Tamandua tetradactyla: one gene and its partners. The protein of the gene in region 1 purifies or fractionates together with the protein of each later gene. This does not show direct contact. Links are inferred from orthologs where the notes say so. Each region holds a gene or a part of one and is shown in the gene's direction. Other genes may lie near its edges. The genes, in order: ARID4B, SUDS3, SAP130 and SAP30.

Region 1 (6,865 bases):
CTCAAAGGTCTTTTTTCTAATTCACTAAACTTAGGAAGGAACCTTCATTTTTAATTGCACCTTACTTGATTCTGATGGAGTTTCTTAAGAAAGCATATTAGTTACACAACTAAAGGGGTGTGGTGGTGTTTTATTTACTGTAAGATTCAGGGGTGTTCTTCAATTTCTAAATTAGCTGTAGTAACTTCATAATGTTAGTACTAAAACTCATCTTTCACAGCCTAGTCATCTCACACGATGAGCTCTTCATCCACTCTCATAGACTAGGCTATTCCAGTAGTTTCTCCTTACTAGCATCAAATTTAAAAGTATAAAATATACTTAGGGAAGCAGAACTTGTCTAATACCTTAATCCATGAAATATGAGAGTCTTCACATATATTACAGTAAATAAACATTGTTGATTCATACTCATGCCACTAAGCAAATCTGAAAATCTTGAAGTAAACATAGTGACATCTCATTATTGGTAAACTAATATTTTTTTCACCAGCACAATGAAGAACTCAGTAGAGCTGAGTCTACCCTAAGTGGTGAGAATCAGGTATTTAATATTTATTGTGAGCTACTGATTTAAGGGAAAAAGGGTTATGTCACATCAATTTTATCATGTACTTCTTTTTCCACTGGAGTGTAAGATGTGTAACATGTAAACAGAAGAAAAGAATAAAACTACATTTTCTATGTCCTGTTAGGCAGATGGTAGGCATGTGTTCAAGTTGGTTGAATGAATACACACGGATTATCATCAACTAAGTGTTTTGGTGCTTCCATGTAGTATGATGCATCTCATTGGTGAGAGAAAGCTTTTGAGAATCTGATAAAAGCTATGAATTTTAAACAAAAACTAAACAAAAAACCCCAGCTTATAAGTGAATATGCCCTCACCTAGATACATGCAGACCCATAAAATGCTACATATAATTTTTTAGGAATCATATAGGCCCTGAATCCTTTACATGTATCTCAGATTAAAATCCCCAGCTATAGAATAAATATCCTTACTCTTTAATACCAAATAAACAAATATTCATGTTTGTATAATGACAAATTAAAAAATAAATTCTACTGGCTTAACTCTTTATTGGAGGGAGATTACAAATGGACATTAAAGCATGAAAATGGTTAAAGTTCAGGTTACTTTTTGGTACTGAAAAAACTGTATTTTTTATCATCCACTCTATGAGTACCCTTGTGAAACAATCATAAAAAACAGCACTCCAACAATGGAAATCTTTCAGCAATCTGAATGCAAAGATAAACATTTTTGTCGAGAGCAAAAATCATGTCCGTATCTTTGACACAAACTTTGCGACACTTAAAAATCATCAAAGCCAAGTTTCAAGAATGCTCTTTTGTTTGTCTGGTTCAATAAAAGGTACAAAGTGTTGCAAGGAAATGTGAGATAACCTTTGCTTCCATTCTTAGAGCTTTGGCTGATGTTATCTCTCAATTTAAACATTAATTATGAATTAAAAAATATCCCTTTTGCTCAGAGAAATATGAGAATTCCCACTTAGCAACTTAGCCAATTAGTAGTCATTTATTTATCACTGCTAGAGATTTTATATTACACAAAGTAAAGAGGCATTATTAATGTGTTATATGATCTCTACTATTTCAGGGTGAATACCTACAGAATGCCTACATGAGATAGTGTGAAACTACTCCACTTTCAAAACGGAAAAACTACCTTAAATTTGTTCAAAGAGTGGGTCAATAAACAGGAATGCAAATGTACCTTGTCTAGCAGTTAGTACAAACTATGTCATAAGGGAAAAAATTCAGGAAATAATCCAAATTTATTACATGTACTGTTTACCAGCTAACTGCAACTCTGATATAGGTTACCTAATTCTTAGAGATTAAAGAAAGAAAAGAAGATGCAAATTTTCTTAAATAGAATAATTGCCTAGGTAAAACATTATTATTGGACAGAATTGAAGATAGAATAGTAAAAGCATCTCTTACACACGTCTCTAATTATTTAAAAGTTAGTAAAAGTTAGTAGCCATCTCTTCCCAACTAGGTTGAGAGCAAAAATCATGTCTGTATCTTTGACACAAACTTTGTGACACTTAAAAATCATCAAAGCCAAGTTTCAAGAATGCTCTTTTGTTTGTCTGGTTCAATAAAAGGTACAAAGTGTTGCAATGAAATGTGAGATAAACTTTGCTTCCATTCTTAGAGCTTTGGCTGATGTTATCTCTCAATTTAAACATTAATTATGAATAAAAAAATATCCATTTTGCTCAGAGAGATACGAGAATTCCCACTTAGCAACTTAGCCAATTAATAGTTATTTATCACAGCTAGAAATTTTATATTACACAAAGTAAAGAGGCATTATTAATGTGTTATATGATCTCTACTATTTCAGGGTGAATACCTACAGAATGCCTACATGAGATAGTGTGAAACTACTCCACTTTCAAAACGGAAAAACTGCCTTAAATTTGTTCCAAGAGTGGGTCAATAAACAGGAATGCAAACAACAGATTTTCTTTTCCGTGTGGATGGATTATTACCGCAATATCCTCCTTGTCTGGCTTCTCTGCATTCACTCCTGTAATTTATCACTTAACTCTCACTGCTCTTTGCGAAATTTAAATCTGGTTCTATCACCCTTCGGACTGAGAATTCTTCAACGATATTTCACTGCTTTTAGAGTAAGAATAAAACTTGTCAACAAGCCCTGTAAGATTCGGCTCCCCGCTCACCTCTCCAACCTCAATTCTTCATCCTGACACAAGGCTTTCCAACATGCTATCCTACTCCTCCTTAACCTGAAGTCAATCCTCACTTTGTCGGGAAAGCCTTTCCTTACCACCGCGTAACTCTTCAGGGTAGCACCTACCACAGTTGTCATTTTAACCGATTCGTGTGTCTATTTTGTTTAATTTCAGTCTCACTAGACTTGGTTCCTGAGGGGAAGAACCATACTGTTTTTCCCACGTGGTAGGAGCTCAAAAATATGTGAAGGGTTGAATGAATGTAATAGCGGAAGTACCTTCCAACGCAGTACAGAAGTACATCAGAGGAAAACTTTGCGCATAAAAAGTGAAACTATCATGCTAAGTATTTTTTTTTTAATGGAAGGTTCTGGTTTCAAAATTGCTTAGTAGAGACATACAAATGTGATGTGAAGCGTAGATGTGAAGCGCTGAGTGAATCCTTCCATTCAAACTCCGGGGGATCATGCGTCTGAAGAAAACTGTCCTGAGATACAGGGAGGGTAGTTAAATAACTTTGAGGCAGATTTTCAACAAAGGTTTAATAAAGGAAATTCAAATGTTTACTCTGCCTAGCACAGACTCCCAAGTGACCGGGAGGTTTCTGCTTCCTCCTAGGCTCAAATGCCCCTTTCCGCCCCACTTCATCACTTAACCCTCCTCCCGCCCCCTCGACCCTCGCAAACCCGCGGATGGAAAATTAATACACAATCCGGTTCAGCATCCGGGTCCTCACTCTCTTTTCTTTCTTTCCTCTCGGTTCCCCGCCTCCCACCCTTCCCCGCCCTCCTCACCATCCGGGTCCCCCCAGCCACCGCCACTGCCGCTCACAGTTCAACGATGATATCACGACTTCCCCGTTGCCGGTCCGGTAACAGTAGAACTGAGCGTCAACTTCCCACTTTATAGTTCAGACCAAAGCTCCTCCCGGTGACCACATATATCCCTCCCCCTACTTCGCCACAGAATTCTCCGCCCTCCTCGGTGGCCAGCAACACCGCATTACTCGGTGCAAGAAAATGCGCCATCCCGGTCACACTGCGCAGGCGTCGTAGCCGCCTCCCCCCCACTGCTTTGTCGCCCCCGCCCCCTTTCCCCTCCCCCCGCCTTAGGCGGGCGCGGGGCATTGCGGATCTTGTAGTTCTCAACGGCAAGCGGTTTGCGCATTGGCCTCCTAGACTGGACTACATTCCCCGTGAAGCTTTGAGGCATAACTTTCTGTTTCCATAGAACTAGTGGGAAAATGGCGTCTGTGTTTGTATCCGAGGGGCCAATAAGAACAGGATATAGGTGGGTTCCAAAGAATTCTAACCAATCCAAGGTCGTCTAAGAGGCCATCCGGGAACGAGGTAGGGGAGGGGGAAAAATCTAGGGGAGGGGAGAAAGGAGGGAAGGGGGGGTTGGGGGGGTAAGCGATGTTTGCCCGTCAGTCGAGTCCGGAGTGAGGAGCTTGGGTGCCGTAGCGGAGGGAGACTCTCAGCTGAAGCTTGCCGCCGCCACGGCCATCGCCTGGGCCTCTGCCCGGAGGGAGCCTCAGAGGGTCTATCGTTGCCGTCCTCTGGAGGGCAGAGCGTTTGGGGGCCCGGACCTCCAGTCCGGGAGTGATTTTTGTCGTTCCCCCTCCCCCCAACGAGGGAGCCTGAGCGGCCGCCAAACAAAGGTACCAGTCGCCGCCGCGGGAGGAGGAGGAGCCGGAGCCTCAGCTTCAGCAACCGCTGGACCCGCCGTCCTTCTTCCCCCATCTCTCCCCCGGGCCTACTGGTTTTGGGGGAGGAGGGGAGGGGATTCTGGACGTGCCAGGGTCAGATCTGGCCTCCGAGGAAGGTAGGGACATTTTCTGGGTCTTTTGCAGTCCCCTAAGGGAGTCTTTTTGGGAGTCCCTGCGTTTTGCTGTGGAGCAGGGGGTAGATGGCTGTTGTGGTCTCTCCACCGGGCGCCCGAATTCGGGGCCTTGTCCTCCCGGGAGGCCCACCTTCTCCCCTACTGCAGTTTCCGAATGGAGTCCGAATCGCCCCTTGACCGAGCGGTCGCAGACTCAGCGGTTTAGCGGCCCTTGGCCGCGGTGGGGGGCCCAGGCAGGAATTGGGGGGCGCTGCCTAAGGTCCTCGCTGCCACACGGCCTTTCCGTTTTCTCCCGTCCCTGCAGCGTGGGGCCAAGTGTAAATTCTCTCCTACTTCTCAGGGTCTCTGGCCTCGAAACGGGACTTGGACAGAGGCTCTGCGGGGGGAGACGGTCCTGCTTGCAGCCCTTCCGGCCGGTCTGACTCTCTCCTGCGCCCCTGCTGGGTCGATTCCTGGAGACTGGGCCGGGCTGCCGCTTGGACGCGGGGTGCTGCGCGGCGCTTCGGGAGAGGACCAGCTCGGCTGGGCGAGAAAGAGCGGTGGGGAGGGTGACCGATTCCGTGTCGGACTCCGGGCTTGTTGTGAGTTTCTTCTCTGACAGAAATGGCGTCATTGTCGGAGACGGGAAACTCCGTCGGGTCCCGACAATGGGGACCGGGAGCTACCGAGCTGTGTAGTTGGCTGGGTTTGCGGGGATAGGGAGGCCAGAGGAGTCCCCGAATCCTTGTTTAATCGTTAGGGGGCTGACGCCCTCTCCGGCGCTTTAATCGGTGTTCAGAGGTTTCACTGGTTCCTTTCCGCCTCCGCCAGTGAACAGGGGGTGCCTGTGGGGTTGACTGGGTGCTTTTTTGTTTCCACTCCAGGTGCAGGTGAATCTGGTGTTATCGGGGGGCTTGTGGCCCCGGAGTCATCATGAAGGTAAGATTGCCTGCAGAAAACGAACCTCTGGTGTTAGAGAATTCAGAAAGGTAGGGTATTTGACTGAGGTCGTTGTGTGGGGCTTCCCTGAGTTTTGAAGAGAAAGGTGTGTTTGGTGCCGTGGTCCCCGAACTCTTGCCTGGGTAACGATGGGGGTCAACTGGTAGGAAATCTACAGCTCAGGGACTCTGCTGCCAGATAGGATACTCGGGGCCTGTGTCTTTTTGAGTTGGAGTCCGAATATCTCATTGAGCATCACCCTACCATATAGAGCGCTTCATTTTGCCGGTAAAAATAGGAAACTGCATGAATTAAAATGCTTTGAAAGGTAAAACTGAAAGAGCAGATTAAGTAATCTGACTCTAAATGCTGAACTGTGTTGTGGTTCTATCGGTTACATTGATGAAAGAAAATCTCTTATTGTGTGAACAGTATTGTAAATTTTTAGCAGAAAATCTATTTGATTAAACACAAAGATGAGCTTCTTTGGAAGTTTTTTCAAGAAAATTATGGTAATCTTTACACAGTTTAGAGATAGCAGTTCTCTTAATTTCCAGGGATTTAGAGTTATATGGTTTGTTTTTGAATTTTGATCTTTTGGTCTGCAAATTTTCAGCTGCTGTGTTACATTGTGATGTGTGATAAGCTGATGGCCAGGTTTCTCTTAAATTTAAGCATGGCAACTGAATGCAGGATAGTTATCTGAGAGGCCCAATTTGCTTAATGGTATAAGAACACACAGCTTTTTTCAATTTAGAAAATACGTAATTGAATGCTGTTTAGTTTTTTAATGCATTCTGAAGTAAAAAGCTTTAGATATGTGAATTGTCTATATTCAACTGGTGGCACTTAAAGACTAGCATATTCTATATTTTCATCCAGTACAAATTCAGAAGTGCTTGAAAAGTGTGTTCCCTGATAAAGAAATGGAACAGATAGTATAGTATGCTGAAGTGTAAATATCTACTTTTGTCAGTGCCTTTGAACTATTTTAAAAAAACTTTATTCCACTTCTCTTCAAAATCGATACTGCTTTTAAAGTACTGCATCCGGATTAAAATTTGTAATACTTGCTTGTGTTTATGGAAGAAAGTAAAAGCTGTGGCAACTTAAACATTTATCTCCTATACAAGAGTGGGTTTAGTTCATTTTTTTCTAGGCTTTTCTTCTTGAGTTTGGGGCGCTGTAAACTCTTATATGAAATAGTTCTTACCTATGAATTTCCATCTTACTCTTATTTAAATGAAAAAAAAAAAGACAAAACCAAAAAACCAGTAATGTTTCCGAAATGAATCCTTTTCTAGTCACAAACTCTAGCTCTAGGAATACCCTTTGTCTTCCTTACTGTTGTGTTGAATAATATAGAGAGTTCA
Region 2 (8,014 bases), on another chromosome or scaffold:
TTCTCATCAGTCAAAGGAGGAGGCTGTCCCCTGGAGTCTCACCCTCTATTGCTTCCCACAATTTGTTTCAACATTTTAATAGACAGACACACACCCGCCTTCCACCAGGACACACAGTGTCAGGTTTAAATAGGCTTATCTCTCTCCATAGCTTGTCCTGGAATTATGCCTAAAGCTCAGTTCTGGTAGCTTTTAGGATAAGAAAACTTATTGGAAAGTGCTGTTATTTTAGTTTCCCCAATGCCTCTTTAAAAAATTTAGTTCGATCTTTCAACTATCTTCCACACATCAAAGTTAAGCAATCAAAATTCCCTATTTATAGTTTACTGTTTCTTTAAACTTGCATCTTAAACATTGATACTGAGGTGCTGCCAAATCAGAACAAATTTCTTAGCTTCTTATTCAGCTAAAATGAAAAAAAAAAAAAAAAAAAACAGGTCAGGAAAATATCTGCCTCTCTCAAAAGAAATATTAGAATTAATCCAAAACATGGGTTTCCAAAAGGATCCCTTTCCCCTTCAACTTTTTGTGGTAGGTTACAGAAGCTCCCTCCAACTTTTCACATTCAGATTAAGCTATCAAGGTCAGGTAGCCCCTCACTTTCCAGGCATCCATCCACACCAAGGGAGATTAGTGAGAAAAGGTCAGGGGTGCCTCTGTCTTGACCTTTGCAAGATGTTGGTGTTTCTACCAGACCCTCCGGCCGGTGCGTTCTACTTAGGAGATGTTTCATTACATAATCCCTATTCCAGAGTCACCCCGACTCAAGCTATCCCAGTCGCGCACACGACGCTCAGAAAGGTCCCGTCCCGTGGATTTCAGACCCTGGGAGCATCACCGTCTCCACGACTCTGCCCCAGCTGTCGGCCCCAACTCGCAGTCACAGCGACCCGGACCCAGGACCCCAACCGCAGCGGTGGGCTTGGGGGTGGTTTGAACAACTCCGTGGGCGCGATCCTTCTCAGGCTCCCTCGCGACTCAGACGCAAGGCTGGCAGAGCGCGGGATCCCGCCGACCTGGAACCAGCGTCCCTCTCAGGGTTCCTTGCCTCAACTCGCACTCGCGAGGTCCCCTCCCCTCGGACACTCTCGGGATCCCTTCTCTTTAGACCCTCTGTCTCCCTTTTTCGGGGTCCCCTCCCCGCAGACCCTCCGTCCTGGCCCCACTCGGGGTCTTCTCCCCGCGGACCCTCTGTCCTGGCCCCTCTCGGGGTCCCCTTCCCGCAACCCTCTGACCTGGCGCCACTCGGGCTCCCCTCTTTTCAGTTCCTCTGTCCCGGCCCCTCTCGGGGTCTCCTCTCTTCAGTCCGAACTGTCAAATCCGCTCCCGAACCTCCCCTCGCCCGGTCGTCGCCGACCTCACTCCGCGCAGGGTCCCCTCGCCTCGGCTCACGCTGTCACCGCCCCGCGCCCGGTGCTCTCACCTCAGACCTGCTGTCACCGCCCCCGGGCCCGGCGTCGCCGCCGCCGCTTCCTCTCTCACACTTGTTCCCGAGTCGCTCTTCTACGGGTTGTCCCCTGGAAGACTCCCGAGTCCGCTGCTGAGTGCCGAGTCCAGCCGCCCAGAACCTCCGCCCGCGGTCCCTGCGTTGCGTCCCACTCTCGAACGCGGGACCCCGCCGCCTCCGGGCACCCCACGGACCCTCCCGCGACCGCCGCTGCTGCTGTCCGAGGTGCGGCTCCTGCCAGGGGTGGCCAATCGCACCCGACTGCGCCGAGCGCGCTCCGCCCCACCCTCACCGACCGACCGCCCCCACCCCTAGACCACGCCCCCACCCGGCTCCGATAGGCTCTCTACTGACCTTCCCTGATCGAGGGGCACAGGGCTGAGGCCGTTTATAGGTACTTGATTGGAGATGCCTAGGAAACCGAGCGGTCGATGGCGCCTTAGGATTGGCGGAATTCACTATGCGGGTGGGGCTGGGCGAGGTTTCCTCAGACGCGGAAGACCTTGCAACTTCAGTTATCCACGGGCCCTCCAGGGGTGCGGTCATCCCTGTTTGCGCCAACCCGTGGGTCAAAGTTCATGGCACTTCTCCCTGCGCCTTAACCTTTTCTGGGAAACGCCTAGAGGCCAAGGCACTCTGGGACCCTGGAAGGATATAAGAGCCTTTGGGGAGGTCCCCATTCTCCAAGACCTTGCACAGGACTTGTAAATTTCCTGGATTTAAATTCTCCCAGGACTTGTCCATTTCCTGAATTTAAGTCCTTTGTACATCTCTAACAATGCTCTTCTTGGCATTGTGTTCAGCTAACATCAATTTAATATTGCTGGGGAAAATCCCTATATTTATACTAGATACATGCTTTGCAAAACAGCATTCAACCCTGGCGGGGCTCATTTTGATAGGTATAAGAACAAAACTTTATAGAGATACTCAGTTGCTGGATTTTGAACTTCTGGTATCATCATTATGACTGAAAAAACAGGAACTCCTGGGGAAACCGTTAGCTTCAAGCAAGCCTATTCAACATTCACAGAGCCATTCCGTTTTGTTCCGTGTAAACTAATCACCAAATTTTAACAAGCTTTGACCCCAAGTGCAATCTGGGATAAGCAAAGACCTATCTTGATTGAAGCTGAAAGGTAATGTCTTCCAGGGGTGAAAGTACATGTTACTCAGAGTTACTCCTTGTATTTTTGTGAAACTGGGTATGCTGAGGAAATCAATACTAGAAAACTGTTATGTTTATTCCTAACCCCCAAAATAAACTTAAGGACTTTGGCAGTTTGGCATTTTATGAAGAAATTATTTCATTTCAGAAACACATTTTAATCATAAGTGTTGTCAAATGTATACAGGCCTTAGCCCTCAGAACTCTAAGTTTTTTTTAAACTCCTGCTATACAATTTAAGTAGGTGTTCTAAACCGTATACATACTTTTTCCTTACTGTTTTAAAATCATACCCCACTCCAATTACAGTGCTCCTCTTTAAAGTTTAAGTTTGGGAGTTAGAGTATGCAGAGGTTTGAAGGCACAAACATTCTGGAATTGGGGTTTGCAGGACTACATTTAAGTTGGAAGTAATAGGAGCAGAGTGGCTGAGCACTATTTTGGGAAGAGATTTCAAGGTGGTAGAACTTAGTTTTGAGGGAAATTGCTTTTTACACACCTAGAGAAATTGTCCATAACCTTTGTATTAAGTAACTATAAAGAGTGAGTAAGATCAAAGCCACAAGTGAATTTTTTTGTTGTTCTCTAGGTCCCCTTTCAATAAAAGGCATCTTTTACTTAAAAGCTTATTCTAACAATTCTGCATTAGGAAATATGGACAGAAGACAAGAGGATAAGTTTTCACCACTCAAGTGTTCAGTTGTATCTATTCATTAAATGAAAGAAATGCATGACATCAGCGGATGTTATCTGCAATCAGTTAGATGGAAATAGAAATAAAATATAAGCAAGACAAAAACTCAAGTGTCTAGAAAGGAGAACAATTAGTGATAAAATCAGTTTTTTTTTAATGCATTATATCAATGGACTCTAATTTCTAAAATGTTGTTGGTGCTTTTTTTGGTTTATAATTATTGGTACTAATAGGGACTCAAGTTCAATAGATAACTACAAATAATTTGGATGTAATCTAACAAAGCAAAGAAAATAGCTTCAGCCTTTGTACAACAGACAGGAATCTGAAATCCTAGTTTAAATATAGATGGTAGACCTACAGTGCATTCTGAGAATAACTCTTATTTAAAAAGAACTTCAGAAGATCCCTGAGACCAAAAAACCTCTTGGAAAGACATCACAGCATTCCATTCTGTAAATACATGAGTTTCGTTGGGAGGAAAAAATCCCTTAAAAATAGAGCCAAGATTTCAAAACAAGGTAGGAAATAAAGATTTTTTTTCTTTATGAGAATAAAGTTTTGTAATTTTAAGAGACTTTGAGTCCATTCAGAGATAAATCTGATTACAAGGGATCTAAGAATCAGAATCGTAGATTCCACTCTGGCTCGTACATCTGTGTTCAACTTTACTATTTTTTAATTACTTTTTCTATGAAGACACGGATGCAAAATAGAGTGGGAATATTTATATTACTTTGGACAAACCATTGAACATTTCTGGCCCTTTTCCTTATCGTGCTGCCACAATTAAACCGCACTGCTCTTGACAACATGTATACCCAAAACTTGTACCTTAACCAAAACTTAAAACACTGTGCCCCCTTTTACTGAGTAGAAATCACAAATTAATTTATCTAGGTATTTGGGTCTGTATGCAAGGAACTCCACTTGCTCAGATGAGAGTTGGTTACCAAATTACTGAACTGGGAAAAATAATCTTTTAAAAATTAATACTCGAGGAATTATGAGACAGATTTACTGTTGAAGGAAGGCTTGGATCTGGAAGTAGCTGGATGCTACTACTTTTTTTTTAGGCAAGTGACATCTCTTTTCTCATCTGTAAAATCGGGATAACATTTTATTCAGCAAACTTATACCAACAGACTCGGACGGACTGAGAAAAATACCGTTTTGCTGATCCCAGGACCGAGCAACAGAAAATTTATCTTTTAGTTTTTAATAAACTCCAATTAGGGGAGGAGTCAGGGCTCTTTTTCTTTTCTGGATGTTCACTCAAACTCTGGATAGCTACATTTTCTCAACTTATAAAGGGGACGGTTCATATCGTTCATACGGTTCACCTGCTTAAATTAAAGAAAAGACCACCTCACCTGCCTCAAACCCCTCATACCCGCCGCTCTCAGGTCGCTAACTTCTCGCTCTACTTTTGGCTCCAGGCGCCGCCTGGCGGCTGTTTCCGGTGTCGCCCCTAAGCTTCGGGGTCCTGGCCTCAGCTAGACCTGCCCGTAGATTTGCCTAACGCTAGAGCTCATGTCTCCGCCCCTTTCCACCATTCCGTCGACTATTTTTAGACGGCAATGAAGGGACTGAGGTTTAGGCGAACGGAACGTCGCGGAACCTGGCGGCCTTTCCTCTCCCTCAAGGATGGAGGAATCAGGCGGTCCTCGGGCAGCTCGCGACCCGGAAGTCGCCGCCGGCGCGAGGACCCCGTTGCCCAGTGCGGGCGCGTGGGGCGGAGCTCGGCGGAAACAAGGAAGGGGTCGCCGGGGCTCCCGCTCTTCGGGGTGGCGGCTCCGTCGGGCTCTGCCAGGAGGAAGTCAAGTCCCCAGCGTGGGTGGCCTCGATCTCCCGGTGGCACGCTCTGCTGCGGTCGGAGGTGATATGAGTGCCGCGGGGCTGTTGGTTCCGGCCCCGGCCCCGGCTGGAGCGCCGCCGGCGCCTGAGTACTGTCCAGAGGAGGATGAAGAGCTGGAGAGTGCGGAGGACGACGAACGCAGTTTCCGGGGTCGTGACTCGGATGAAGGTGCGTCTTTTTGACCGCTGGCAGCCCTGGGCCGGGGTGGAGCTGCTGGGGAAGGGGTTGGACTGGCTGGGAGTGGGACGGGGCGGGGCGACTTCTAGAGCGTGGGGCCCGTTGGAGGGGCATCTGGGAGAAGCGGGGTCCTGGGAAGTTATCACTAGTCCCTCTGGGGAAGGAGGGAAGCCCTGGCTGTGTACGTTGTACCCTACTGTTATGGGGAGAAGGGACTTAAGGAGATATTCATAGAGCTGGAGGTCCCTTTAAGATTCTGCTCCCTCCCCCACAACCCAACCGTCCGGATTGAGCCTCTGGTCTTCGTTGGATGGAATAGGAAAACCATCCTTTGAGTGCTGTGAATCCCTGTCCTTTTAGTTCTGGAGAAAGTCAGAGCAAAGCTCTGTTTGCCCTCACCCCCGACCCCACCAGAATATGATTAAGTCAGTCCCACTTTGGACAGCACAGTACAAGATTTGGAATGCAGAGTGGTTTAAAGAAGGCTTAGTGGAATCAGCCAGATCTAGGTTTAAATTTGTGTCTGTAACTTAACCCAACTTTGTCATCTTAGAAAACTTCCTTAAGCTTCTGAGCCTCATTTCCCCAACTTTATGGGGTGGAAAGGTAGTACCTTTTTCTTAGGGTAGTTGAGAGAATTAAATGAAAAAATGTGTATGAAGTACTTGGCCCAATTTCCGGTATTCAGTAAGTGTCTTTTTCACCACTGAAGAAACAGGCACAGGAAGAGGTAGAGATTTGCTTAATGGTGCCCAGGTGTGTTTTCATTTCCATTCCCTTTATATTATGTCTTACTGCTTCTCAGAGCATTGCGTTTCAGGCTGGGCTTTACATTTTGGTAAGTGTGAGGAGTACTGTTTTAGAGGAATTGAGGAAGGAGCTGGCTAGAGGGAGAGAAAGGTTAAGAAGCATAGGACACGGGAGAAGAAAGAGGAGATAGAGAGGAACCAATATATGAGTGGAGTATTCCAGTTCATTTTATTGGCTGTCTGGAATAAGGAGCCTGTCTTATTCATTTCAGTCCTCGAAATAATGAGCACTTGATTGGCTGGCACATACAGGAACTCAGTGAAGCTCTGTTAGCTGAAGGAGGGGAGAAGGGTTTGTGGAAAATTGGGTCTGCAACAGCATTTCTCAGAAGGCAACTATATATGCAGACAAAGTTGAGCCAACTAATTGCATTGATAACTTTGAATCTTTGGAGATGATCTACTTTAAAATTCTCGCAAGAAATGCTACTTTGAGGACATGCCACACTGGATTTAATTGGGGCCTGCTGGGTTAAAACTCATCTTTCAACCCTTTGAATATGAATCACTTACATTGTTTTTAATGCCCACGAGGGGGTGCTGTGAAGCCAAAATAGATTTACTTCCTGCAGTAGGGTTCTTGAAATTGTGTAGACACTCCAGCGCTTTGCTTATTTAAGGATAGTGTATAAAGTGTTTTGAAACAGTTTCTGTTTGATCATCTTGCCTCCCTCCTCTTCTCCATTAGTTGTAACTTTGAAAATATTTGTTATTAGAGTTGTATTTCTTGTTTCTTTTTCTCCTGTTTCATCTCCTATCTGATATGAAATTTGCTAAGGGTTCAATTTAGAGTAGTGAGCAGGGCTTGACTACCTGTACTTTCCAGACTTCCACCCATGTCTCCTTTTCCTGAACTGCCAGCTTTTTTGTTTCTGCAGAAGTCACAGCCTTGACCATGAGTGCCTAGTCTGATACCCCTGTTTTCTGGTTGCACTTGAAATAAGGGCAAGCTCTTTGCATTAATCTGGCTGTGTATAATTTGGCAATGCCATTTTCTTTTCTGAAATAACTGTACTTAATGTTTTCCACTGATGGTGTCACACTGGCCAGTTTTGAGAAGAAATTCATTTTACAGAAGTTTATTGCATGCGTTTGCTGTGACGCGATGCCGAGTATATGAATATGATTTTAACTGACTTTTCCTCCCTAATTTTACTCAGACACAGAGGATGCTAGTGAGACTGACCTCGCAAAGCATGATGAAGATGACTATGTAGAAATGAAGGAACAGTGAGTAACACAAGCTCTTTCATGATTGTTTTTATATTATTTTTCTGGAATACAGAATTAGCAGGAAAAATATAGTGGCCTTGTATGTGTGGTTTTGACTATAATGCTTCCAAAGACTGTGTGTATGTGTGCATTTTCTTCTTTTAAATTGGTTGTATTTAATCAGTCTGTATTTAGATGAAACTTGTTCTTTTTTTCTTCCTATATCAAAAATCCATGATGGGTAGACTAGAAAGAACCTAGAGGCAAATGATCACAGGGAAGTAATCCCATAATACAGGAGAGTACCTTTTACTACTTCCTCTTTTATTTAAGATGTGAAAACCAGTGTTTGGAAACTCGCGTCATCCAGCAGCCAGGTTCTAAGATGGTCATGAACTCACTGAGCACTGACTACCTGTTAGGCAAGGTTCTGGATGCTTTGAGAGCTCAGGTAACTGGGACTGGAAACTAGGGACTCCTGACTCCTCCGATGCTCTTTCCACTTGAACACACGTCCACCCAAACCTTTTCATCACCTTCAGACAGAGCCCCAACTGAACGTGCCCAGATAGACTAAAATTCTATTATGTTTTAAAGAACTTGAAAAAAAATAGCTTCCTTATGCTTAAAATTTACTGACTTTTTATTA
Region 3 (7,688 bases), on another chromosome or scaffold:
TCCCTGGCTGGGTATTTGGACCAAGGGGAGCATATGAAACTAGAGAATGCACAAGGATCCAGATGTTAGCATGCCAGGTCCTGCCAGAGTGAGAACCAGCTGGGTTAAGCAGGAGAGAAGCCCATGAAACTTTTATTAACACCAGCAGACCACACACTGACATCTGATTGACTACCACAAGTCACCTGCATTGAGAATTTGTCCTTCTTGTTGGCAGACAGTCCTTCTCTAGAAAACAACTTAGCAGGTGAGGTGTCTAAATTTTTTTGGCTCAACCTTCCATATTATCTTGTGTAGACATCATTTTTAGGAATGCAAGAGAATAGTAAGCTCCTAAAACTTTGGCAGGTGGCTTTAACTCTTGAGTAAGAAGAATGTTTTCAGCCTCAATTAGTATACTAAGCTCAGTAGATGGGAGTTCTAAGTTCAGCAACATAACCTTGAGCAAAGCACCTACCTTCCTTCAAGTGTCCCTTATATAAGGGACTGGAGATAGGAATGAATATGGCAGCAGAGACTGTCCCTGGTAACTAAGGACCACTCAGATTTCATTCATGTGCTATGGATGTATTTGTGATTATACTAGGTAAACTACTGAATGCCACCTGTATATAAAGTCCCATAGATGGAAGAAAGGATGAGTAATTTCTCTCTCATCCTAGTCCAGGAGAAATAAAGGGTAGGCACAATTAGTCTTGGAATAGAGTGCCTGAGGAAATTCCACAGAGGTATTCAGAGAGTAGGGGGGTGTGGGTAGGAATTTGAAGAAAGTTTCTTGGAGAATATAAATCTTCTTTGTTTGTTTTTTGGTTAGGAATTATAGAATTGACAGAATGCTAGCAGATGATTGCAGAAGATTGAGACCTATAGAAAGTATTTCAGGCTTGAGCAAAACTCTGGAAGCCAAACTGTATGGAGAACTGATGGAAACTGTTGCTGAAAAGAGCATTCAGTGTTTGAAGAGGTATAAAGGGTTGAATTACTAAGGCCTTTGAATACTGAACTTAGGGTATTGATTGTATTTGAAAGTTATTGGAACATCATGGGAGGCACAGACAGACTCAGGTAAAGGCTTTAGAAAAAGACCTCTGTGGAGGACTATGCTGGTTTGAAACTGTTATGTACCCCAGAAAAGTCAAGTTTTTAAAAATTCTAACACGATCTTGTGGGGGAAGACTATCATTAAGCGGAGCCTTTTGATTGGGTTTTTCCATGTGACCTGCCCAACTGTGGGTGGGACCTTTTGATTAAATGGAGATATGATCCCACCCATTCAAGGTGGGTCTTAATTAGTTTTCTGGAGTCCTTAAAAGAGTTGACACAGAGAGCAGACACAGATGTTTGGAGATGCACAAGATGCCAGAAGCCCCAGGATATGCCAGACGTTGAGAGAGCTGTTTGAAACCAGAAGCTGGAAGGGACAGCAGAGGTTGCCATGTGCCTTCCCATGCAACAGAGAAACCTCAGACAGAGAAAATCAGCCTTTATTTTGAGAAGGTTTCTGTGCTGGTTTGAAAGGATTTGTGTACCCTAGAAAGGCCGTGTCTTAATCCTAATCCCATTTTATGGAGGCAGCCTTTCTTTAATCCCTATTCAGTACTGTAGGCTGGAAACTTGATTAAATTATCTCTACAGAGATGTGACTCACCCAATTGTGGGTATTAACCTTTCATTAGAGGTGACTCCACCCATCCCAGTTTACTGGAGTTGTTTAAAAGAGGAAGCATTTTGGAGAAAGAGACAGAGCCACTAGAGAACCATAAGAACCATGGGAGAGCCACGAGAACCACAAGAGCCCACGCAGCCAGAGACCTTTGGAGATGAAGAAGGAAAACACCCCAGTGGGAGTTTCATGAAACAAGAAGCCTGGAGAGAAAGCTAGCAGATGCCGCCATGTTTGCCATGTACCTTTCCAGTTGAGAGAGAGACCCTGAACTTCTTGGCCTTTCTTAAGTGATGGTAACCTCTTGTTGGTGCCTTAATTTGGACATTTTTATAGACTTGCTTTAATTGGGAAATGTTCATGGCCTTAGAACTGTAAGCTAGCAACTTAATAAATTCCTCTTTTTAAAAGCCATTTCGTTTCTGGTATATTGCATTCTGGCAGCTAGCAAACTATAACAGTATCCTCTTGTTAGGTGCCTTAATTTGGACATTCTCACAGCCTAAGAATTGTAACTTATAACTTAATAAATCCCCTTTATAAAAGCCAATTCATTTCTGGTATGTTGCATTCTGGCAGCTTTAGCAAACCCAAACAATGATAGACAGGGGTTAGGAAGAGATTAGAAAGGAGGCTGTATTACTGTGATCCAGACAAGAAATGGTGAAGCCCAAGGCTATGGAAGTGATTGGAAAGGATGCAGAAAAGTCATAATGAATACAATATAGCAACTTCGGGAGATGGGAGAGTGAGAAACAAGAAGTCTGACGAAAGACTGAAAGAGTGGTAATGCCCAGGAACCCAGGGAGCAGAGCAGATAGGTGAGGCAAATCAATACAACCTTTTAATAAGTTAAGTTTGAGGAGCTTGTCAGACAGTGATGTGGATTGGTACAGCTCCTGGGTATACCGGGGTACAACTCAGAGAGAGGTCACCGTGTAGGTAAACATTGGAATCACTCACAAATGTGACATTTGAAACTGTGCGAGTTTATTGCCCCATTTATGAAGATAGTAAAGTATCAAAAAAGAGTTGGGGCCTTAGAAAATACCATATTTATTTCAAGAGAAGGTGTGATGAAGCTTGAGCAGAACCAGGAGAGAGTGTGATTATGGAGGCCAGTGGAAGATCATTTTAAGGAGGAATTCCTGGTCATTAACTAAACAACATGAGAACTAAGCAAGGACCACCAAATTTGAAATTGAATACGTCACTGGCCACTTTTAGGGAGCAGTTTGAGAAGGATGGCAGGACCAGAATCCACAAGGGGTAGAGAGAGGAAGCTAAAATATGTAATGCGAGTTACTTTTGGAAGATGTCTGGGAATGAAGGGAAGGGAGAAAGTAGCTTGAGGGAGGAGGGCTGGTATTTGAGACTCACTCTTGTTACTCTGAGCTACTCTCCTCCCAGCAAGCAGCTGTCTTAGACAGCTGTGCAATGATAGGAAGAAGGGATCTGAGCCGGAATTATATCTTAACCCGTCACAGCGCTCCCAGGCCTAATTACTACATAGGGAGGAACGATGGGGACGCAGACCCTCATTTTGCCTCAGCAGCTTTGGCTGCAGGTTTCACGAATGTATAAACTGCACCTATCTGCGCCCGACAACAGAAACAGAATGAACCCATGTCCTTTCCGCGGCTTTACGGCCGCGACAAAGAGCACCAGGACGCGGCGCCCCGGTTCGTAGCCAGGGCCCCCTCTCCGAGTCTGCCTGCTGCGCTGAGGTGCTGGGGCCCCCACGTTGCTTGGGCTTCGCGGGCCAGGGCCTCGGGGACGAGTCAAGTGCCACCACGGCGGAACGCTGACCCGCCACACCACGACCTCCATTGCCCTTTTCGCGCGCCACGGCCCCTTAACGTCTCAGGAAAATGGAACACAGTGCCTCCGACAGTGTCGAAATGGGGGTGACCCGCCGTGTCCCCGGTCGGTGAAGAAAAACAGTAGACGGTGCCCAGACCTCTGAAGGGCCCACAGCTCCAGCCCAGGTCACCAGCAGGCCCCGCCCCGGAGTTTCCCATCGCCCTCGCGGCCCGCCCTCCCGGCTCCATGGACTACATTTCCCAGAAGTCGCCGAGGCCTCGGGAGGCGGGCCCGTCTGCTCTCCCGCTCACTTGGAGCGGCAATTGGTCTTCCCGGGGGAGGGCGGGGCCGGCTGCGGCCAATCGGCGGGAGGCTCGTTACGGCGGCGGAAGCAGCGGCGCTGGGCTGAGGGGTGGGGGGCAGAGTGCTAGTGCCCCGGCGGCGGCGGTGGCGGGTCCGGAGCCCGAGGACGGCGACCCCAGAGGCGGACGGCGCACGGGGGAGAGCTCGAGGCGGCGCGGCGACCACCCGGCGCAGCGCCCAGGTCATGGCGGGACGGGCGCCGGGGCTGGGAGGGGAGGTGGCGAGGGGGCGGGGCGCCGCGCCGGGCAGCAGCGTCCGTCCCGCCGCGCGTCCCCGGGGAAGGGCAGCGGGGCTTGGCGCCCCCAGCCGGGACTCGGGCTCCTTCGCGACCTGGGCACGGCGGTTGTGCCGGCCGCAGGGGCTGGAGTCCCGCTGCGGAGAGGGAAGAGGCGACTGGGAGGGCCGGGCTGGCCGGGCGTGGGGGCGTGGCGGGCCAGGGCCTGGGCGGGGAGCTGAGGGCCGGGGACGCGGGCGGGCGGCCGGGGTAGTTTGGCTCCCGGAGCAGTTTAAAGTGACTCTCCACATCCGGGCCCTGCGCCCGCCGCTTTCAGACCGGGGCCGAGGCGGGGCCTGCCAGCTCCCCGCCCCCTCCGCCGGGAGTGCCCGGCTGCTACGACCATTGGCTCGGTCACCAGGGGCGGGGGCGCCCCGGCCAGGCTCGTACCTGATTGGTCGGTCGTCGGCGGGAGGGAGGGGCGGGCCCGAAGTGCGACGGCCGCAGCGGATTGGCGCTGGCCCCGAGTGACGTGACCGGCGTTGGGCCAATGAGTGGCGGGGGAGGCGGGGGAGCGGGCCGGTGGCCCAGAGGCTGCCAAGCCTTGAGGGCTAGGCGGCCGGCGGGGCTGGACAGCGGCGCGCTTGCCCGGCGTCCCATCCTCGCCCCTCGCCCAGTGCCTCTAGCGACATGGGCCCCCCACGACCCCCGGTGAATGGCGAAATGGGGACGGGTGGCGGGAGACGGCTGCAGGTACCAGGGTGCTGGTTGTCCTGTTCCCCCCAGACGGAGCCCCTGAGACCCCCGGCGGCTGAAACCTCTGTCTCTCTCTGTCGTGGGCTTTGGGGCGGGGAAGCGCCTGCGAACTAATGGAGGAGATCCGGAGAGCTGGGCTCCTGTGGGAAAGTGGGCACGAAAATGACTGAAGCGCTCGGGTCCCTCAGGCTCCTGGGGGGGAGGGGGGTCTGTGAAACCAGGAGAAAAAGAGGAAATCTGTAAAGGCCTTTACAAAAAAAGCATTTGAGAATTTTTTTCTGGTCAGGTCTTGACATACGGTTTCTGATCCTCTCTTAGGATCCGGCATCTCCGTTCTGAATTCTCCTATATGACAGATTGAGTATGGTTCTGTTCACCTTGGTGTCAGGTTTAAACCAATCACAGACAGGCTCCATTCCCCCTAAAACTTTACACGGACACGTGTGCATCATGTCAGTAGCTGTAATGTGGCTGTTGTACAGGATTCCCTGTTCTTTTTTTTTAGTCTACAGTCCACAGGTATTTAGAGGGTCATGGTATCCCCCAGCACTGTAGAAATGATTTTATTAATTGAGCCTGAATACATAGCAGATACAGAATTTAGGTTATTTTTGCCCTGTGTATCCATCATAAGTGATTTTCTTTTTTTTTAGAAAACTTGTTGCATTTGCATTTCTGAGGGAAGATAATATTTAATATTGTTTCTAATCTCAGAATCTAGCCATAATCATATGACTGTATTTACTGCAGGTGGAAATGAGTTCTCAGCAGTTTCCTCGTTTGGGAACCCCTTCCACTGGGCTGAGCCAAACTCCTTCACAGATTTCAAGCAGTGGTTCTGCAGGATTGATAAATCCAACTGCTGCAGGTAAGATTATAATTTTTACACCATATAAGAGTGTGTTGCTCATTTTCTGATTTAAAAATTAGCAAATTTCCCTAGAATTTTAGTAAACACCAAGTAATTTTAATTTGAAAACAGGATATTTTACAAGTCTTTTTGTTTTTTTGTTTTAACCACTTCATTGACATGCATCATTGTATATTGTGCAACTTATAGTAAAGCTTGCCTACAGGAATATATTTTTTAAATGTGTTAATGTGCTCCTGTCCAAGGCTCAGATGTATGGTGATAGCATCATTGGGGAACAGAGGTATGTAAAGTAAAGGATAGGTCTTGCCTTTTAGGAATTTACTACCTGGAAAAGAGGGTAAGAAGTCTTTATGCAAGTTTTGGCTAGGCGCCCCTTAAATGCTGTGGATCCTTGCCTTTCAGTAGAGGATGATTTTGCCTACTAGGGAATGTTTGTCGATCTCTGCAAACATTTTGGTTGTCCCAGTGAAGATGCTACTGGCATCAGTGGGTAGAAGCCAGAGATGCCACTGTTTATCCTGCAGTGCACAGTCACGCTACATAACAAAGAAACACCTGGTCCAACGTCGCAGTAGTGCTGTGGCTACAGAGGCCTGCAGAGCCCTGCTTAGAGGAGAAGTGACCTGGGAGTCAGAAGAGGAAAGTTCCTTACCTTTCAGTGTTGTTCTTGATTCTCTGTCAAATGTTCTCTTTCTCATCTTGCTTTGTATCAAATCAAAAGGTGGCATTGCAAAGTGAAGTGGCTTTGCAAACTGTGTTCCTTATATGGTAGAAGGTGGCGCCATCTACTCATTGCTTGAAGAGCTCAGACATCATCTTTAATTGCTTTGTCTGTGCCTTTTACCTACAAGCTGTGACACCTTTCTCATGTCCCAGTCTCATTTCCTGCTACTTTCCCCTTCTTCCAACCCTTTACCTTTTTTCAGTTTACTTTTTTCAGTTCATTCTCATGCTTGTTAGACTTACAGATACTTTAAACTGCTTTATGCCTCCTGCTTTATATTATCTATTGATTTGATGAACGAATGATGAAACGTTCCCAGTGTTCATGACCTCAGGCCTCTGTACGTTTCATTCCTTTCACTGCCATCTTCCTGTTCACACACACTTCTATGGCTAATTCCTATTCTTCAGGTTTCATCTCAGATGTCGCTTTCTGTGTTGATGGCATCTTTGCCAACTTCATCGTCCACAGTTCAGTCTTAGACCTCCTCTGAGACTGAAGACTACTTGAGGGCTGGGGTTGTGTCTGTCTCATGCTCCTTATGACAAAATAGTGTTCAAGGTAGTGGTCATAAGTTCTTGTTGAGGGACTTGAGGTTCTTTTTATTCCCTAAGAAATATTTTTGACAATATTTTATCTTTGGGATAAATTGATTGAAGGGTTATTTAAAGTATAGTATAGCTAAAGAAAATATTTTGAACACTTATCCTTTGCAAGGAATTACACAGCTCATTTTAGAAAGTGTTAATTAGCAATAATTTCTCTCAAACCTTGTTGGTTAAATGAAAAGAAAGTCATAAGTTTACTTCATAAATTTACTTTTGAAGAGTATATATGTATATGGAAGTTTATTTCTTCAATTACACTAAAAAAGTGTATAAAATTTTTTTCTGAGTAAGGTACAAATTCAATATACAATTATTTCTAAATACCAGCAGTGAACAGTGAAAGTTTTTAAATGTCATTTTCAATAATAGGAAAAAAGCATGACATGTAATCATAACACAAAATTGTGAATGTAATTAATATTGCTGAATTTTCCCCATGAAAGTGGTTAAAATGAGAAGTTTTTTATATGTTACCACAATTTTTTTTTAATCGTGAAATACGTAAGGATAAATTTAACAAAGCATGTGCAAAACCTGTAGTCTGAAAACTAAACATCGCTTAGAGGAATTAAAGAAGACCTACAAAATGAAAAGATATTTCTTGTTCCTGGATTGGAAGACTCAGTAGTTTTAAGTTATCAGTTCTTCCGAAAGGGAGCTATAGAGTCAAAGAAATCCTAAAC
Region 4 (7,705 bases), on another chromosome or scaffold:
GCCGAGAAAAGAGCATTGACATTATGGAGCAGAGGGGTGAAACTGGTTGTTGTTCTTGGAGAGACTGGTGCTGCTGGGTTTCAGAGCTTATCTGGTATTGGAACAATCCAGAGTATCTAAGTCTCTGAAAAACGAACTTAATAAGTAAAACTTTTATAGAGCCCAGGGTATCCTTTAAAGTTTCCAGGAATATTGTTGGTTGGAGCTTGCTATACTGTGGTAGTTTGCAATATCTGGCTGAAACGTCCATAGGAGTAACCTCCAGAATGACTTCTCACAACTCAATTTGAAATCTCTTAAGTCACAGAGACTTTATTTCTTTACCTCCTTTTGGTGAACCCATCCCATGATGCCATGGCCAGGCTCATCCCCTGGGAGTCATGTTCTGTGTTGCCAGGGCCAGGCTTATCCCTGAGTGTCATGTCCCACATTGCCAGGGAGACTTACACCCCTGGAATTCATGTCTCACGTCTGGGGTGGGGGGGAGGGGCAGTGGTCAGAATTTGGCTGAGGAAGAGGGACATTTGAGCTACACAAGAGATTTTCTGCTGATGACTCTTAGACATTAATTATAAGTAGGCTCAGCTTTGCCATTACAGAAATAAGTTTCATAAGGGTAAAAAAAAACCAAGGCTTTTCTGGGGTACATAATGGTTTCAAACCAGCACAAGTAACATATAAAAAAATGAAATTACACCTCTATCTTCCACCAACACACAAAAAATCCATCATAATGCTAAATGGGAATGGCAAAACAGTGAAGCATTTAGAATATACTGTTGGAAAATATCTTCATGACTTTGAATAAGGAATTATTTAAGTCACAAAAATCATCAGCCCTATATAAAAAGGTATAATTTTTTCAACATTAAAACAAAGACTTATTTAACTGAAAGTTGTCACTATAGAGTCAAAAAGCAAGCTATAGAGTAGGAAAAGACATTTGAAATATGTAAAATTGGCAAAGGGCTCATTAAGGATATATAAAGTACTAATACAAATTGACAGAAATAGATGCACACCCAATAGATAAAATAGACAGAAAATCTGAATAGAAACTTCCTGAAGAAAACCATATGGGCTACTATGAGGCAGTTTAATATGAGGTGAATGGATTAGGCTTCAGAGTCCCTCACTTGGACAAGCCATTCAAAAGGCCTAATTTTATATTTATAATTTTACATGCTTTTTCAAATTGTACAAACTTGAGGCCCTCAAACACCTGATTCCAGTCTTAACCGTGAATTACACTTAAAGCAAGGAGTTCTTACCTGTCCTGCATATGGAAATCTGTAAAAATAAATAATGAACTATGGTTATGTAAATTTCTTTGAACAAATAGACTCACTGAAGATGTACTTTAAATCTGGCAATGTCACCAACTCCTGGAATCCTTTCTACTTGCCGGAGATTAATCATTCCCTCCTGTGTGCTACATCTATATTTCTCTAGTTTTATTGAGGCATTTAGCATGCTTTTTTGAAATGTGCTTGTTAAGCAGCCTGCCTCCCAGCAAGCTCCAAAATAGCTATGAACCTCTCTCAATTATTTTATTCCCAGGGCCTAGGAAAGATCATAGTATGCAATAAATATTAAATTGGATCTTTTTATTTTTGCTTTTTTAAAACTTATTTTTTATTGATATATATTCACATACCACGTAATCATCCAACGTGTACAATGGTTCACAATATCATCATATACCTGTGCGTTTATCATCACATTCGATTTTTTGTGTGTGAAAAATAACATATATATATATATATATATATATATATATATATATATATAAGCAATAGATTTCAAAGCACATCATAACAATTAGTTATTGAACAGATTTCAGAGTTTAGTATGGGTTACAATTCCACATTTTTAGGTTTTTACTACTAGCTGCTCCAAGACACTGGAGACACTGGAGATTAAAAGAAATATCAATGATTCAGCAATCACACTCATTTGTTAAACCTTACCTTGTCTGTGTAACTCCACCATCCCTTTGATCTTTCTCCCACTCTTTAGGGGTATTTGGGCTATGCCCATTCTAACTTGTTCATGTTGGAAGGGGCTGTTGGTAATATGGGATGGGGGATAAAACCAGTTGATGTTCTGGAGAGGCTGGCCCCTCTGCTTTTCAGGACTTTTCTGGTCCAGGGACCATCTGGAGGTTGTAGGTTTCTGGAAAGTTACCCTAGTGCACAGAACCTTTGTAGAATCTTATATTACACTCTAGGGGTTCTTTAGGATTGACAGGAATAGTTTTGGTTGGGGGTTGGCAAGCTATGATAAGTAGCAATGTCTAACTGAAGCGTGTGTAAGAGTGACCACCGGAGTAGCCTCTCAACTATTTGAAGTCTCTCAGCCACTGATACCTTATTTGCTGCACTTCTTTTCCCCTTTTTGGTCAGGATGGCGTTGTTGATCCCAAGGTGCCAGGGCCAGGCTCATCCTTAAGAGTCATCTCCTATGCTGTGAGGGAGACTTTCACCCCTGAATGTCATGTAATTGGATCTCTTTTAAAACACTTTATTTTGGGTAAAGGAGGCAAAGCCACAATTCTTCACTGAATGTTTTATATAATTGATACATAACTAAACACAGATAAGTGAATTAATTTAGTCGAATTTTGAAGGAAAGGGATAGGCGCAAGAACCAAACAGTAACAAATAAAAATACAAAGATAAATTTGAAAATTCAACATTCCACTATCATGCTTTCTTCAGATTTTTTTTTTCATAAATAAAAACTTACAAATACAGCAGAAACCAGTTTTAAGCCATTCACTTGGCCTGCCTCCCAAGAGGTGACCAACACCCTGAAGTTGGGGTGTGTCCATCCTACATATGTTCTCATTTTTACCATTTAAGAAAATATATCCATAAATAACATCCAGCATGATTGTTTTTACTCTAAGACAGCGTTCTCTAATAAAAATATGCGAGCCACAAACGTAATTTTAAATTTTCTAGCAGCCACATTAAAAAACATGTAAAATTAATTTTAATATTTCATTTAACCCAGTAAACCCAAAATATCATTTCAACATAGAATCAATATAAAAAAGGTATTTATAAGCTGTTCAACATTTTTTTGGTACTAAGTTTTGAAATACCATCTGCAACTTGTACTTAGAGCACATCTCAATTCCGATGCTAAATTTAGATTTCATAAAACTTGAGTTGAACAAAGATTCAAATAGTCAAGTTGTCACAAACATATTTAAGTTTTTTCCCAAAAGTGAATCGAGTTAAAAAATAATTATAAAACTATTGCAGTCGCAGTAAGGACATTTCAAGTGCTCAGTACCCGCACAGGGCTGGCGGCCACCCCATCGGACAGTACAGCTTAAAAAGACAACATATCGTACTTCGCATGCATCTATCTACATTTTACCTGCTCAACTTATTTAATATTTTAATTTTGTTTTTTCCTTTGCCAGATCCTAGAACTAGATGCACAGGTGGAAACGATGGCTTTGAATTTCAGCGCAGATGGCATTTTACACTTTATTTTTTAATGGTCTCTCACTAAATTTACAAGAACATTCCAAAAACCTACTAGCCAAAATACAGTATTTCTATTCGAACATTAGAACTGTTTAACAATGAGACTGTTTATGTACTGATTTTTAAAAACGATGAGCTGTTTAAGTTATTGCAAAGCTGAAGCTTTCCTATTAGGAAAAGCTTTCCTATTAGGAAGCTCCCCATCCTTCTGCTCCGCCCCGCAGAAGCACACGCGACACGCGCACAGGCACACGCGGTCACTCCGCACCGCAGGCGCACAGGCACACTCGGGCACACAGGCACACGCGGTCACTCCGCACCGTAGGCGCACAGGCACACTCGGGCTCACAGGCACACGCGGTCACTCCGCACCGCAGGCGCACAGGCACAGACGGTCACTCCCGCACCGCAGTCGCACGCGCGACCCAGCAAGCGCGGCTCCACTTCGCCCCGCTGGCGGAGCCGGGTGCCGCGCCTCGAGCGCACAGCTGGCCTGGCCCAGGTGACAGCTCCACGCCTCCCGGGAAAAGGTACTGGACTCCGCCTCTCGCCACAGCCCCGGGAGGAGACTGCGCGCCCGGGAACGGAGCGCGTTCCCTGCAGGAACAGGCAAAGGTGTGGAAACGGTGCTCGGCTGCGGCGTTTGCGAGGACACCTGCTAGGGTCAAAGGTCGGGTGGGTGCGCTCCACGGGGCGCTTCAGCGCGCGAACAGACGGGGCTGCCATCCAGTCGGGGTGTGAGCTGCGGGACTTCCACGCCGCTCGAGCTTTTGGTTTGGGTTTCCAACAAAAGCGTGGTCACACCATAAACTCTTTTTCCACAGCGACCAGAGAGGCACCTAAAGCGTTCGTTCACACACTCTACCCACTTCCTCTCCTCCTTTCTTTCTTTGTCTGAAGAGTCGGTTGCCGCTTGGTCTGAATACACCAAGTCTGCGAAATTCCAGGAGCTAACCACAACTTAACTTCTTAGAGACTACAGAAGAGCAAACACCATCATTCCCAGCCACACCATCCTGCGAGCCCCGGCCGGTACTGAAAAGAGAGGAAAAGTCAGTGGGCTTCCTAGACCGACCCCTCGCCGCGCGATGCATGCTAGGATAGGTAGTTTTCCAACCTTCCGGGCTCAGGCTGACCCTGCACAGAGAACTACAATTCCCGGGGTGCATTGCGGCAGACGGGAAGGGCGGCACGGTGTTTATCACACTACGCTTGCGCGATCCGAGGGCCGACGAGAGGCGGGGAGAGGTGGAGGCGCCGCGGTCTAACTATTCAAGAGTCTCTAGGTGACAGTGAGCGCCGTCGCCACTGCGCACCCCTCGGGCTCTGGGTCCAGACCCTGGGCACCGTCCACTGCCGCGGAGCAGCACACGTCGGCACGGTGCCGCCACCGGACTCGGGGTGCGGACGGCATCGCTGCCGCGTGGCAGGTGCCTGAGGGACCCGGCCGCGACCCCAGTGTCGCGGAGGCGCAGCGGCCAGGCGAGCGCGGATTCTGCCGGCGGGACATGAACGGCTTCACGCCTGAGGAGATGAGCCGCGGCGGGGACGCGGCCGCCGCAGTGGCCGCCGTAGTGGCCGCCGCCGCCTCGGCCGGGAGCGGAGCCGGGGCGGGCGCCGGGGCAGAGGTGTCCGGAGCGGGGGCCGTCTCGGCGGCAGGTCCCCCGGGCGCGGCCGGGCCGGGCCCCGGGCAGCTGTGCTGTCTGCGGGAGGACGGCGAGCGGTGCGGCCGGGCGGCGGGCAACGCCAGCTTCAGCAAGAGGATCCAGAAGAGCATCTCCCAGAAGAAGGTGAAGATCGAGCTGGACAAGAGCGTAAGTGCCGGCCGGACGGCCTTGCCGCCTCCGCGGGGCTCCGGGATCCGGGCAAAGACGGGGGGCAGGACCCGCCCCGGACCTGCTGCCGTGCGGGCCCGTGCTGGGGTCCCTGGTGAGACGCGCACCGCCAGGTCGCCGCAACTCGGACGCCCGCCCCCTCCGCGGCCTCCTCCCCCTTCCTCCCGGTCGTGGGACGCGGAACAAAGGGAGCCGCTCGGAGGGCGAGGAGGGGACTCCCGGGGCCCGTCCGCGGGTCTGGGTGGAGGCGCCTTTGTGCTGTCCGAGCCGGCGCGCTGGGCCCCGGACCTCGCACCCCGCGGGCGGGGCGGTGCTTCCCGGGCCCGGTCGGGTTCTCCCGGGCCAGCCCCGCCTTGTAGGGCGCGGGCTGGGAGCGGCGTCGGCCCTAGGGCGGCGCGTGGCCGTGCGGCTCCGCTGCGCCGGTCGCCCGCGGGCAGCCCTCCCGCCGGCCCCTCTCCCAGGCGCGGGCCGCAGCCGCGGCCCCTCTTCCGAGCTCGGGCTGGCCGCGGTGAATGTGATGTCAGGACGTAGCGCGCGGCCTTCCTGTTTTTGAACTTGCGTTTAGGTCGGAAATAAATTTTAAAGTGCATTTTCTTTAACGGGTCAACCTATGAATCCCTGTGTTTCATATTTGTTACTCCAACTCTCGAGATTATGTCATTAAAAGTTTTTGAAAAGTTAATTTGCGATACTTCTCACATGTTTAAGCAGTTCTTTAGTCGTGTTAGATAATTTTTTAGGTGAACTTGGATAATTTCAGATTGTTTCCATTGGCAAAACGTGTTACAGATAAAGACATTCATTTAAAACTCAGAAGAAACCTCTGAGTTTTGATGACAAAACCCAGAGGGTTGGGCTTTCTCTTTCTCCTCTCCCCTCCCTCCTTTCCCCACGGGCGCCCCCCGCCCTTCCCCCTCCATCCTGTTAACCGGATTACCAATTTTGTCGGACCTGGTATGTTTTAATAGGATGAGTGCGGGAATAAGAATGGAAACAGGCTGTATTCTTGACAATGCCCTGTTTTGACTGTTGTGTTTATTTTTAATAGTTCACCGTGACCCATGTATTTCAGTAATAGATAGACACTACATTTTGTCGTAATCATAAGCAGCCTGTAAAACTTTTCTGTTTCAGGCAAGGCATCTCTACATTTGCGATTATCATAAAAACTTAATTCAGAGTGTTCGAAACAGAAGAAAGAGAAAAGGGAGTGATGACGATGGAGGTGATTCACCTGTTCAAGATATTGATACCCCAGAGGTAGATGAACATTTTTATATGTTAAATGTGTATCCTAAATAATTCATTCTTAAACTTTTATAGAAAAGATTTGAGCACATTTTTAAAGTGGTTAAAGAATTTGAGAAATCTGAAAATGAAAGCAAAATTAAATACAGCCAGTTAACATACAGTTACACAGTGTGACTTGTTATATTTCAGTTGACAATTATTGCATCTCTATTGTCTTATAATTTTTTTTGTGCCCCAGTTTTTAATGTATTTATCCCCGAAAGTGTTTAATACATTTATAGGTGTTTTGATAATGGAATTACATTAGACGTACCAGTGATATTTCAGTAGTTTGAATGAACTAATTTATATACCTTACTTCTTTCTAGGTCGATTTATACCAATTACAAGTAAATACACTTAGGAGATACAAAAGACACTTCAAGCTACCAACCAGACCAGGACTTAACAAAGCACAGCTTGTTGAGGTATATGAATTTTTAACTATTTAGACTTTAAGTGAGCCTGTTCCCACCAATTATATGCTAATGAACTAGTTAACATAATAATTAACATAGTGATATAACAATACATCACTTTTTTGTAATGACTACTCAGTGAACTGTGTGCGATTTTCTTTGCTTCTTCTAATACTGGCTTTAAGAAATACTGAATGTTAATTTTCTGTCCTCATTCTAAAATTTGTTAGTTTTAAAGTTCCATTCACTCAGTGAACATTTATTGAGCACCTGATCAAGGCATAATAAAATAAATTAATAAGCTCTAATGTCTTTGTCAGTATTTGTTTTGGGGGGTTTCTGGTGACATATGTTTATAGAAGAACCCCATACAGTATGCACATAAGTTGCTGATTTAACTGTTTCAGAATTTGTCTTTGTTGATGTTAGTTTGCTTTGGTTGAGACATCCATGTTTTCTTTATATCTTGAAGAGGCAAAGATTAAACCCTTTTTACTTTATGCAAGTTTTTTTATACAGGGTTTTACTAACAGTTTGTCTTGATATAGGACTTTTATTGGATTTAGTCCTTTAATGAGTTTTGAAAAGTTGACTGAGTGTGTGCATTCTCGGGAAATAATAGAACCAAGAAATCTGTGCATTATATTAAGATGTTTAT

What was found.
Region 2: the proteins of ARID4B (region 1) and SUDS3 purify together in Homo sapiens (affinity purification with western blotting; 3 studies listed by BioGRID, with this or other methods). This does not show direct contact. The link is inferred for Tamandua tetradactyla from reciprocal best matches to the Homo sapiens genes ARID4B and SUDS3.
Region 3: the proteins of ARID4B (region 1) and SAP130 fractionate together in Homo sapiens (co-fractionation; 4 studies listed by BioGRID, with this or other methods). This does not show direct contact. The link is inferred for Tamandua tetradactyla from reciprocal best matches to the Homo sapiens genes ARID4B and SAP130.
Region 4: the proteins of ARID4B (region 1) and SAP30 purify together in Homo sapiens (affinity purification with mass spectrometry; 5 studies listed by BioGRID and IntAct, with this or other methods). This does not show direct contact. The link is inferred for Tamandua tetradactyla from reciprocal best matches to the Homo sapiens genes ARID4B and SAP30.

Annotation. Positions count from the first base shown.
Region 1 is NC_135333.1:5,592,665-5,599,529, reverse strand, and holds the start of ARID4B (AT-rich interactive domain-containing protein 4B), read left to right. Parts: upstream 1-3,846; 5' UTR 3,847-4,022; exon of another isoform or gene 4,023-4,081; intron 4,082-4,133; exon of another isoform or gene 4,134-4,556; intron 4,557-5,437; 5' UTR 5,438-5,486; coding exon of another isoform or gene 5,487-5,492; 5' UTR 5,493-6,865. UniProt on the Homo sapiens protein: Acts as a transcriptional repressor. May function in the assembly and/or enzymatic activity of the Sin3A corepressor complex or in mediating interactions between the complex and other regulatory complexes.
Region 2 is NC_135331.1:18,679,340-18,687,353, forward strand, and holds the start of SUDS3 (sin3 histone deacetylase corepressor complex component SDS3), read left to right. Parts: upstream 1-5,006; 5' UTR 5,007-5,193; coding exon 5,194-5,335; intron 5,336-7,313; coding exon 7,314-7,383; intron 7,384-8,014.
Region 3 is NC_135329.1:84,675,050-84,682,737, forward strand, and holds the start of SAP130 (histone deacetylase complex subunit SAP130), read left to right. Parts: upstream 1-4,674; 5' UTR 4,675-4,733; coding exon 4,734-4,754; intron 4,755-5,549; coding exon 5,550-5,667; intron 5,668-7,688. UniProt on the Homo sapiens protein: Acts as a transcriptional repressor. May function in the assembly and/or enzymatic activity of the mSin3A corepressor complex or in mediating interactions between the complex and other regulatory complexes.
Region 4 is NC_135352.1:39,728,278-39,735,982, reverse strand, and holds the start of SAP30 (histone deacetylase complex subunit SAP30), read left to right. Parts: upstream 1-4,703; 5' UTR 4,704-5,011; coding exon 5,012-5,317; intron 5,318-6,472; coding exon 6,473-6,598; intron 6,599-6,957; coding exon 6,958-7,056; intron 7,057-7,705. UniProt on the Homo sapiens protein: Involved in the functional recruitment of the Sin3-histone deacetylase complex (HDAC) to a specific subset of N-CoR corepressor complexes. Capable of transcription repression by N-CoR.